Linked DNA regions of Oryctolagus cuniculus. Each later gene encodes a partner of the first gene's protein in a complex. Links are inferred from orthologs where the notes say so. Each region holds a gene or a part of one and is shown on either strand. Other genes may lie near its edges. The genes, in order: CDK5R1 and CDK5.

Region 1 (3,851 bases):
GACCCAAAATGAGAGAACCGAATGAGTCAAACCAGCTTATTGGCCAACGCTGCCCACACAGCTGGGCGCAGTGGACAAGGGTGCAGATGGGGCGAGTTGCATTTCTCCACTGAAAGGAAGCCCTTCTCCCTAAAAAAGAAGTAAACCAGGGCCTCGTGTGGCCAGATGACCAGACGCAGTCCCCGCACTACGGCCGCCGCTCTCCGCCCCACCTTGGCTGACGCCGCGGAGGATCTCGCCCCACAACCCCGCTCGCCGCCCCGCTGGCCTCTGGGAGAACGAATGGCTCAAAACGGCTGCCAGCAGAGAGCCACCTAGCACAAACCCCAGTTCCTCCCCGGAGCCCCTGACCAGGGGCCCCTCTCCAGCACCCGTCCAGGGAGCAGAGGGCAGCCCGGGCACCAGCAGCAGAGGCGGGTCGGTCCTTTGCATTCCCCGGAGCGAGAGGCCAGCAGCCTGGCGGCTCTGGCCGCATCTTCTGGGTCTTGCACAAGGTCTGTGAGCTCCAAAGTACCCAGAGGTGCCGGTGAGGCCAAAAACGCACCCGGAGGAGAGACGGTGGGAAGGGAGAGCGCCCCGGCGGCTTCGCTAGACACGTACTGTACACAAAACTCCGATTCTGTTTAATAAATTTTTAAAAACGCACGGAACCCGCGAGCCCCCGGCGTGGGCCCCGGGGCTCACCGGTCGAGCCCGAGGAGGAGTCGCTTCTTGTCCTCCTGGCTGCTCTCGTTCTTGAGGTCGGAGAAGACCTGTGTGAAGTAGTGGGGGTCGGCGTTGATCTGCAGCATCTTGGAGCTCATGAGGTTGATGACGGAGAGGCAGCGGTCCCAAAAGGCCTCCTTGCGGCTCTCCACCAGGAAGGGCTTGAGGGGGTAGGAGATCTCGTTGCCCATGTAGGAGTAGGAGAGGTACAGGCAGGTCAGCAGCACGGCCTGGAGCTCGTGGTCCGAGCCCACCTCGGAGGAGATGACATCCCGGCAGAGCATGTACAGGAAGACCACGTTGGCCGGCGTGATGAAGCCCTGGTCCTGCCAGCCCTGCAGCAGGAGCGAGCGGTCCACACTGCGCAGCCAGAGCACGGGGTCCGTGGGGGACAGGTGCTTCAGGCGGTAGCACCGGCGGCACAGGAACTCGCCCAGGCAGCGCAGTAGCTCGCTGGTGGACGCCTGGACGATGACCCGCTTGGGCGTCCCCGCGGAGCTGACGGCGGGATGCGGGGCCTTCTTCACGGAGGAGGAGCCCCCGGTCTGGGAGCCCGGGAGCTGGCTGGCCGCGGGCGCGGGCGGCTGGGCCGGCGGGGGCTGGGCGAACGTGGACAGGTTGGCGCACGACAGCGACTTCTTCAGGTTCTCATTGTTGAGGTGCGTGATGTTGTTCTGGTAGCTGCTGTTGGGCTGCACCTTCTTGGAGTTCTTCTTCTTGGCCGACACGGCCACGATCCTCTTCCACGGGAGCACGGAGATGATGGAGTGCCGCTTCAGGTTCTTGTCCTTGGCGTTCTTGCTGTTCTGCACGGCCGTGTAGTGGCCCACGGTGGCCGCGCCATCCTCAAACAGCGCGGCCTTCCGGTAGCTGGGGGACAGGGACAGCACCGTGCCCATGGTGCCGCTGCACGCCCAGCCTGCCGGCCGGCGGGGAACACCAGCTCACCGCGCCTGTGGCCGCCCCGGGGAGCAAAGCGGGCGCTCCTAGGACGCGTGCGGCCCCTCGGATCTGCGTGGAAAACAAGATGGTTCTCAGCACCAGGCGGGGCTCCGCGCCTCGGCGGCGGCCCCCACGGACCCAGGCCCAGGCCCCCGCTGCGGGGGCCCTCGCCCCAGGCTCTGCGGCCCCGCCCGCGCCCGCGCGCCGCAGCCTCGCCGTCTCCACTGCGGCACCCCCGCCCGCCGCCGCCGCCGCCGCTGCGGTCCCGAGGCGCAGCCGGGAGGGGCCCGGGCTCGGGCGGAGGCAGCCGCAGACCCTAGCCTCGACACCCCGCGCGGCCCCTGCCCCGGCTCCCGGGGCGGCGAGACGCTCGCCCAGCGCAGGCTTACCCGGCAGGCGGGGGCTCCTGCGCTCCGGGCCCTCCGCAGTGCGCGCCGCGGCTCCGCCGCCGCGATCCCGGCGCTCGGCGGCGGTGGCGGCGCTGCCGAAGCTTCTGTCCAAGGTTCTGCAGGCGCCGCGGCCCCGCCCCCCGCCCGGCCGCCCTCGCCGCGCTCGCGCTCCCGCCTCCGCCCCCGGCGCGCACCCCACAGGCCGTCCTCTCGGGAGCGAGCGAGCGCCGTGCGCGCGCCGAGCCCAGGCGGGCCCGGTCTGACCCGGGAGCCGCGGCCACCGGCGTCCTCAGCCCGAGCTGCGCGCGGTGCGACAGGACGCAGCCGCGAGCGAGGGGCGGCGGGGACACGCGGCGCCGGCCCCTCCCGCACTGCTCGCCGCCGCCCCGGCAGCGGTCCGGTCGCGCGAGGGTCCCGGGCGCTCGCGCAGGCGAGCTCGGCCGGCGGGGCGCGCCGGGGCCGGGCGGGGCCGAGCGCCGACCCCGCCCGCCGCGCCGCGCCGCCCCGCCCAGACACGTGCTGCCTTTGTTCCCGCCGCGGCGCCCGCAGCTGCCGGCCGAGCCCCGGGCCTGGCAACGCGCAGCGGGCCCTCCGCCGAGGCCGCGCCCGGAGCCCGTTCCCAGGAGCTGGGGAAAAGAAGGCTGCGGCGGGGAGAGGCGAGGCCGTTCCTGAAGCCGCCTGAGAACCACGCGCACCCCCGGTGGCGGCGGTCCCCCGGGGGCCTCCGTTTCCTCGCGCGGCGGTCTCAGAAATCCAGGCCGCGGCCGCGTTCCGCACTCCAAACCTGCCGTGGAGCCCCGGGCGGGCGACTCACCCTCACCTGTCAGGGCAACGCGGAAGCGACTGCTCCTCCAACCAGCCTCTGCCTCGGATGTTTTCCCTTCTACACCCGCCTGATCTGACAACCTGACGCCAATAAAACTGCGTAAAATCCCGGTCCCAGTAAGAGCCGTTCCTCAGACGTGACCCCAGGCCCTTGGCCAAGACCACTGTTCACTTAGTGCTTTTGATCGGGTGGTAACCTCTTCTCTGCCGGGGGTGCAGAGGTGAACGAACACCCAATTCCCTGACACTGAGCTGGCACCACGCCGAACCTTGCTGCCGTCGAGTCAGGAAGCGCTAGCATTCAGTTACCTATCAACCAGAAGTCGTTCATGGTGGCGACGCAGTTTTAGGAACCTTGGTGCCGGCGCAGGCATTACTCTGTACCCAAAGGGCTGCTCCCTGCCCCCCCCCCACACACACACACAAAGCGAGTTTATCCCTGCAGAACCACCACAGCAGCTGTTGCTGATTTAGAAGGCCGAGTCAGCTCAGCGTGCCCCTTTGAAGTTCCGCAGTATACAACTGTCTTAGTCCATTTTCCGTTGCTAAAACACAACACCTGAGCACTGGGTGATCCATAAAGAAAAGAGGTGTACCTGGCAGCCAAATCCGCTCAGCTTCAGTGGCTTCGGCTCAGCAAGGCAGAGGAGCAAGCCGGCAGGCACGTGGAGAGGCACGTGTACCAGCGAGAGGAAGGTTTTTTATAGCCACCCACTCTGCAATAACCACCCACCACCCATTCCCCCGAAAACCACAGTAGCTCCTTCAAGGGGGTGGAGCCTCCATGACTTTAAAGCTCCCACCTCCTGCCAATGCTGTTAACACTGGAGACCAGGCCTTGTGGGCTTTGGTGAAGACAAGCCATGGACACAGCAACAATCCTACCTGCTTTTCAGGTGGGGCAGTCCTCCGCCTTCAGGGCAAGACACTCAAAGTTGCTCCTGGCTGTTCCAGTCCTCTGGTCCACTGTCTGTCCTCCTAAGGCCAAGC
Region 2 (4,547 bases), on another chromosome or scaffold:
TGCCTCTCACCCTCAGGAGAAGCCTGCAGACCCCGCCATCCCGGCAAGGCCACCGCCACCCTCACACCTGTGCTGTCGGTCCACGGCCTCACCCGCTTCCAGCGGGCCCAGGGCTCAGGGCCCTGGGGGCAGCGAAAGGATATCGGAAGATCCTCTTCAGCTGGTCATCCACATCGTTGCCAGGGAAGAGGGGCCGGCCGGCATTGGCCAGCTCTGTGAGAGGGGCACAGCCGTGACGCACCGCGCACTCCTCACTCCGAGGCACCCCTGCACCTGCCATTCCCGGACCCGAGGGCCCTACTCCCTTCCCCGAGAGGGCACCCTCCAGACCCTGTTTGTCAACCCAGATTGGGGAGAAAGAGCAGAGCCGCCCCAGCACGTCACCTGCGAAGATGCAGCCGGCTGACCACATGTCGATGGACGTGGAGTACAGCTTGGCCCCAAAGAGGACATCCGGTGGGCGGTACCACAGCGTGACCACCTGGAGAAGACCCCACCCACAGGGACGCCCTCCCGTTTAGAGGGCTGGGACGGAGGGTGGAGAGGGGAGCTCAGAGAAGAGAGGGCACTGTCTCGGGTTGGTCATGGAGCAGGAGCTGAAAAACACCAGGGACTGCTCCCCTCAACTCCAAATCCCACCCCCCAGCTCACCTCAGCTGAGTAACAGCGGACAGGAATCCCAAAGGCTCGAGCCAAGCCGAAATCGGCCAATTTCAGTTCCCCATTCTGGGGGGAGACGGGAGGGAGGCACGGCACGGGGCTGTTAAACGTCTCAGGGCAGGCTCCTGCCCCCTGCCCTCCCCTTCTCCCCTGAGCAGTACCCTGTTTATGAGCAGGTTCTGGGGCTTTAGGTCTCTGTGCAGCACGTTGCGGCTGTGACAGAATCCCAGGCCTTTCAGCAGCTGGAAGAGGAATGACTAGAGAGGGGCAGAGGGGACAGAGTCAGACACCCTGGCTACGAGGTGATGCCAGCCATGGGCATGCTCCCTGCCTCACCCTCAGCTTTGTTCCATGTCCTACCCAATCCCCAGCACCAAGCTCAGGACAACACTATATGCACTCACTGCCGAGGGTTGGCTTTGCAGCCCGTACAGCAGGAAACAAGTGGCTCTGCTCCCTGCCCTTCCAGACCTTATAGCCCGATAGGCCTTCTGCCTTCCCAGCCCATGCCTCTCTCCCCTACCTGGCTGGACCTGAGTGTACAGTCTGTCACCATCAACATGGATATTGTGCTCTGGGATGGTTCAGGACCTGACTCCCCTGGAACCTGGGCCAAGGCACTTGGTCTCGGGCCTAGTACTCTCAGCAAATGTTTGTTGATTAAATGAGTGTAGCTCTTTGGGTGGAAATAGCCGTTGGCCTCAGAGTGTCACTATACAGGTCCAAGGAGGCCATGTGGAAATGCTGGCTAAGCCCGGAGGCCCCTGGAGGGCAGGAGCAGGTTTGCTCTTTCTCTGACACCCCCCCCCCAGAAAGTCCCTGATTTGTGCCTAAACAGGAGAGCTGACACTGCATACAGACCGGAACCCCAGCCCCGAAGAGCCCCCAGAACACCCTTCCCCTCACCTTCACAATCTCAGGATCGAGGTCACCATTGCAGCTGTCAAAATACTTCTTGAGGTCCTGTCAAGGGATGCAGCGGGGGAACAGGACAGAGGTGAACCTCCGTCTGGGCCCCACACCCTCCCAAGCCTGCTCCCTTTCAGCCCACCCCCATCCCCTTTCACCTGGTCACAGAACTCAAAAACCAAAGTCAGCTTCTTGTCACTATGCAGGACATCGTGAAGCCTACGGAGAAGCAAGGGCTGAGCCAGGCAGGTCTGCACGTCTGCACCACCCCAACCAGGCTGAAGCCCCCTCCTCCTCCACCTGCAGGGCCCCCTGCCCCCTCCACACCTGACAATGTTCTTGTGCTTCAGCTCCTTAAGCAGGCAGATCTCCCGGAGGGCTGAACTCGGCACACCCTGCACAGCGAGGGAGCAGCAGTCAGATCCCACTCACCCCAGGCCTCCTCATCTGCCACTCCCTGCCCTGGTGTCCCCGGTCCTACCTCGTCATCGTCATCCAGCCTCACGCGTTTCAGAGCCACGATTTCGTGAGTCTCTCGGTTTTTGGCCTTGAACACTGTTCCGTAAGTGCCTAAGGGGAGGAGGTCATAGATGAGGGGGAGGATGCGGCACCCTCCCCATCCCCAGGAAATGGGGAGGGGGAAGGGCACTTGAGTGTGTAAGGGAAAGGCTTCAGGGTGAGGGGCAGGCTTGCAAGAGCTTTGTAAGTGAGGACGCTGCAGGGTAGGGAAGGCCTAAAGGTTGAGGCTCCAGGGTCTGAGCCGGAGGCCAGGGTAAGGACAGCGCTAATAAGGGCGGCACTCCGGGAGGTCTGGCCATAGCAGGACTCTGGGAGAGAACTGAGGGCCTGCAGAAATGTCAAGGCTGAAGATCTGCTGGGGTCCGGGTGAGGATGTGCAAGTGGTGCTGAAGCTAGGCGTGGGAAACGCAGGACGTGCCGCGGCTGGGAGGTCGGCTCCACAGGGAGGCTAACGTTGGGAGTGGGAGTCCGCGGAGAATGCTAACACGGGCAGGGCTGGTGTCTGCACGGAGTGCTGAGCTTGGGGGCCAGGGCTGCAAGCCAGTGCTGAGGTCGGAGCCTGCAGGTACCGCAGACTACGGGAGAGCCTAGGCTGCAAGGAATCCCGAAGGGTCTGCAGAAGAAGATCTTGCAGGAACATCTCGTGGTTCTATTACCTTCCCCAATCTTCTCCAGCTTCTCGTATTTCTGCATCACGGCAGCCGCGGGGACCCCTGCGGGCCCTGGGTTCTAAGACTCCGGCCCCGGCGTTGCAGAGGAGGCGGCACCCCAGCCTCCGGCCCCGCCCCGCCTCCTGTCTGCGCATGGCCTTCTGGGGCTTGTAGTCCTAGGACGGCCAGGTTTCCCAGCGGTGTCCGGAGACTCGGGCAAGAGGACTACAGCCCCCAGCAGGCTGCGCTAAGGTCCTCTGCAGCACTCGACTCCCGGGACTCCGGTTCGACCGCGGAGGCAAACCCTGGACTCCAAGTCCCAGAAAGCATCACGCGTCCGCTCCTTGGGCGTCCCCACCGTGACGCCACGGTTCCCAGTGTGCCCCGCTCTTGTTACTCCTTTTCTGTGTGCCTTCTTGAAAAGGGTCGCTCTGGGACTACGCGTTCCAGAATGCGGCGGGGTGGGGGTAGGGCGCCCTCGGGTTGAGGTCTGGCGGCCCAGATCCGGGACCTAGTGGCTCAGCTCTGACCTGGTTGGTGATGATGAGTTCCGAGCGACCTCAGCGCGGGTTTCCACCTCGCCCCAGGCCTCCCAGTGACCTCAAGGTTGATTGGGGAATAGGAACGATGACCTCACAGGGACCAGCTGACCCCAGGGCTGGGTAGAGGCAGGTGTTTGCCATTTCTGGCTGGATTGGAAGGGTGACTTCTCCCTCTGCTGGACCTCATCTGTCGTCTCGGAGCCCATGATGAGGCGAGCCGGCTGGAGCCCTGGGAGTCCCCCCAGATCCCAGTCTTCCGAGCAGAGCCCACTGGAGGCAGTAAGGGTGTGGCCCACGAGGGCTGACAGGTTGGTTACCCCCTCTACAGACAAGACCACAGACAGATGCTACACTTACAGCAGCCTTTACCTCATCCCTTACGGCAGTTGATTATAGATTTTCCTGTGCTGCTCTCTAATTGTCTCATGATTGCATTCTTCCGGGCTGTGAACTGGACGAAAACAGCCCCAAATAGCACTCCGCAGCCAGGAACCAGAACTGGTGCTGACAATTTGTGGATTAATTCCTTTATATCAGAATGCTTTCGCATACACAATGCTGTGCTTCACCCACGTGGCAGACTAAAAAAACAAAAAAGTATATAATCCTTACCTAAACGCATTTTTAATTGAGAAAACAAGATGGCACACAAGTTCTTTAAAAGAACAGGACTCGATTCAGGGTGGGAGGTAGCAAGGACGAGGAGGGGGCCGCCGCGAGGCGTTTGTGTCCCTGAAAGTGACCGGTCCTAGGTCAACTCGGGGTAAGGGACAGCCAACCTCCAGCCGCCATCACCTCGTGCCCCGTGCAAAGACAGGGGGGCTTCTCTTGGAGGCCTGGGGGGTTGCGTGCAGGTGGGCGCAAGAGAGTCTTGGCCCTGCTGCGTTTGTATCGAAACTGCCTGGCTTTCCCGGCCGTCCTGTGCCGGCTGGGATCTCCAGCGAAAAGCAGGCTCTTCTCCGCCCAGAAGTGCCGTCATGGAGCAAGAGACGGCGTCCCCGGGCGCCAGAGCCCCGCGCAGGGAAGGCCTGGGCGGCGGCCTCGCCTGGCCAGGCCGAGAGACCCCCCGCGGGGGCGGCCTCCGGGGCCCGGCTCCTGGTGCCGGGTTGTGCCTGGAAGCGCGCCCCCACCCCCTGGCCTCGGCCCCCGCTCTCCGCCTCCCCACTGGCCGCGGCGGGGCCGCGCACGGTGCGCCGGGGGGCGCGCACGCTGGGGGCTGGCCTGCCCGCGACGCGGGGGAAAGTTGAGTTGGGAGAAGTTGGGAGCG

The links.
Region 2: the proteins of CDK5R1 (region 1) and CDK5 are in contact, whole or in part, in a crystal structure (PDB 3O0G), measured with the Homo sapiens proteins. The link is inferred for Oryctolagus cuniculus from reciprocal best matches to the Homo sapiens genes CDK5R1 and CDK5. Residues at the interface, in NP_003876.1 of Homo sapiens: Trp190, Gln193, Thr197, Pro198, Ala199, Phe203, Tyr231, Leu232, Ser235, Tyr236, Met237, Gly238, Asn239, Glu240, Ile241, Ser242, Tyr243, Pro244, Leu245, Lys254, Glu255, Trp258, Asp259, Cys261, Leu262, Ile265, Asn266, Ser269, Ser270, Met272; in NP_004926.1 of Homo sapiens: Leu37, Asp38, Glu42, Gly43, Pro45, Ser46, Ser47, Leu49, Arg50, Ile52, Cys53, Leu54, Lys56, Glu57, Val69, His71, Leu76, Arg120, Asn121, Val122, Leu147, Arg149, Ala150, Phe151, Gly152, Ile153, Pro154, Arg156, Cys157, Tyr158.

Annotation. Positions count from the first base shown.
Region 1 is NC_091448.1:41,587,989-41,591,839, forward strand, and holds CDK5R1 (cyclin-dependent kinase 5 activator 1), read right to left. Parts: upstream 2,178-3,851; 5' UTR 2,037-2,177; intron 1,717-2,036; 5' UTR 1,605-1,716; coding exon 681-1,604; 3' UTR 541-680; downstream 1-540. UniProt on the Homo sapiens protein: p35 is a neuron specific activator of CDK5. The complex p35/CDK5 is required for neurite outgrowth and cortical lamination. Involved in dendritic spine morphogenesis by mediating the EFNA1-EPHA4 signaling. Activator of TPKII.
Region 2 is NC_091438.1:22,758,803-22,763,349, reverse strand, and holds the start of CDK5 (cyclin-dependent kinase 5), read right to left. Parts: upstream 2,899-4,547; 5' UTR 2,782-2,898; coding exon 2,745-2,781; intron 2,140-2,744; coding exon 2,051-2,139; intron 1,965-2,050; coding exon 1,897-1,964; intron 1,789-1,896; coding exon 1,728-1,788; intron 1,624-1,727; coding exon 1,567-1,623; intron 918-1,566; coding exon 822-917; intron 727-821; coding exon 652-726; intron 482-651; coding exon 385-481; intron 214-384; coding exon 144-213; intron 1-143. UniProt on the Homo sapiens protein: Proline-directed serine/threonine-protein kinase essential for neuronal cell cycle arrest and differentiation and may be involved in apoptotic cell death in neuronal diseases by triggering abortive cell cycle re-entry. Interacts with D1 and D3-type G1 cyclins.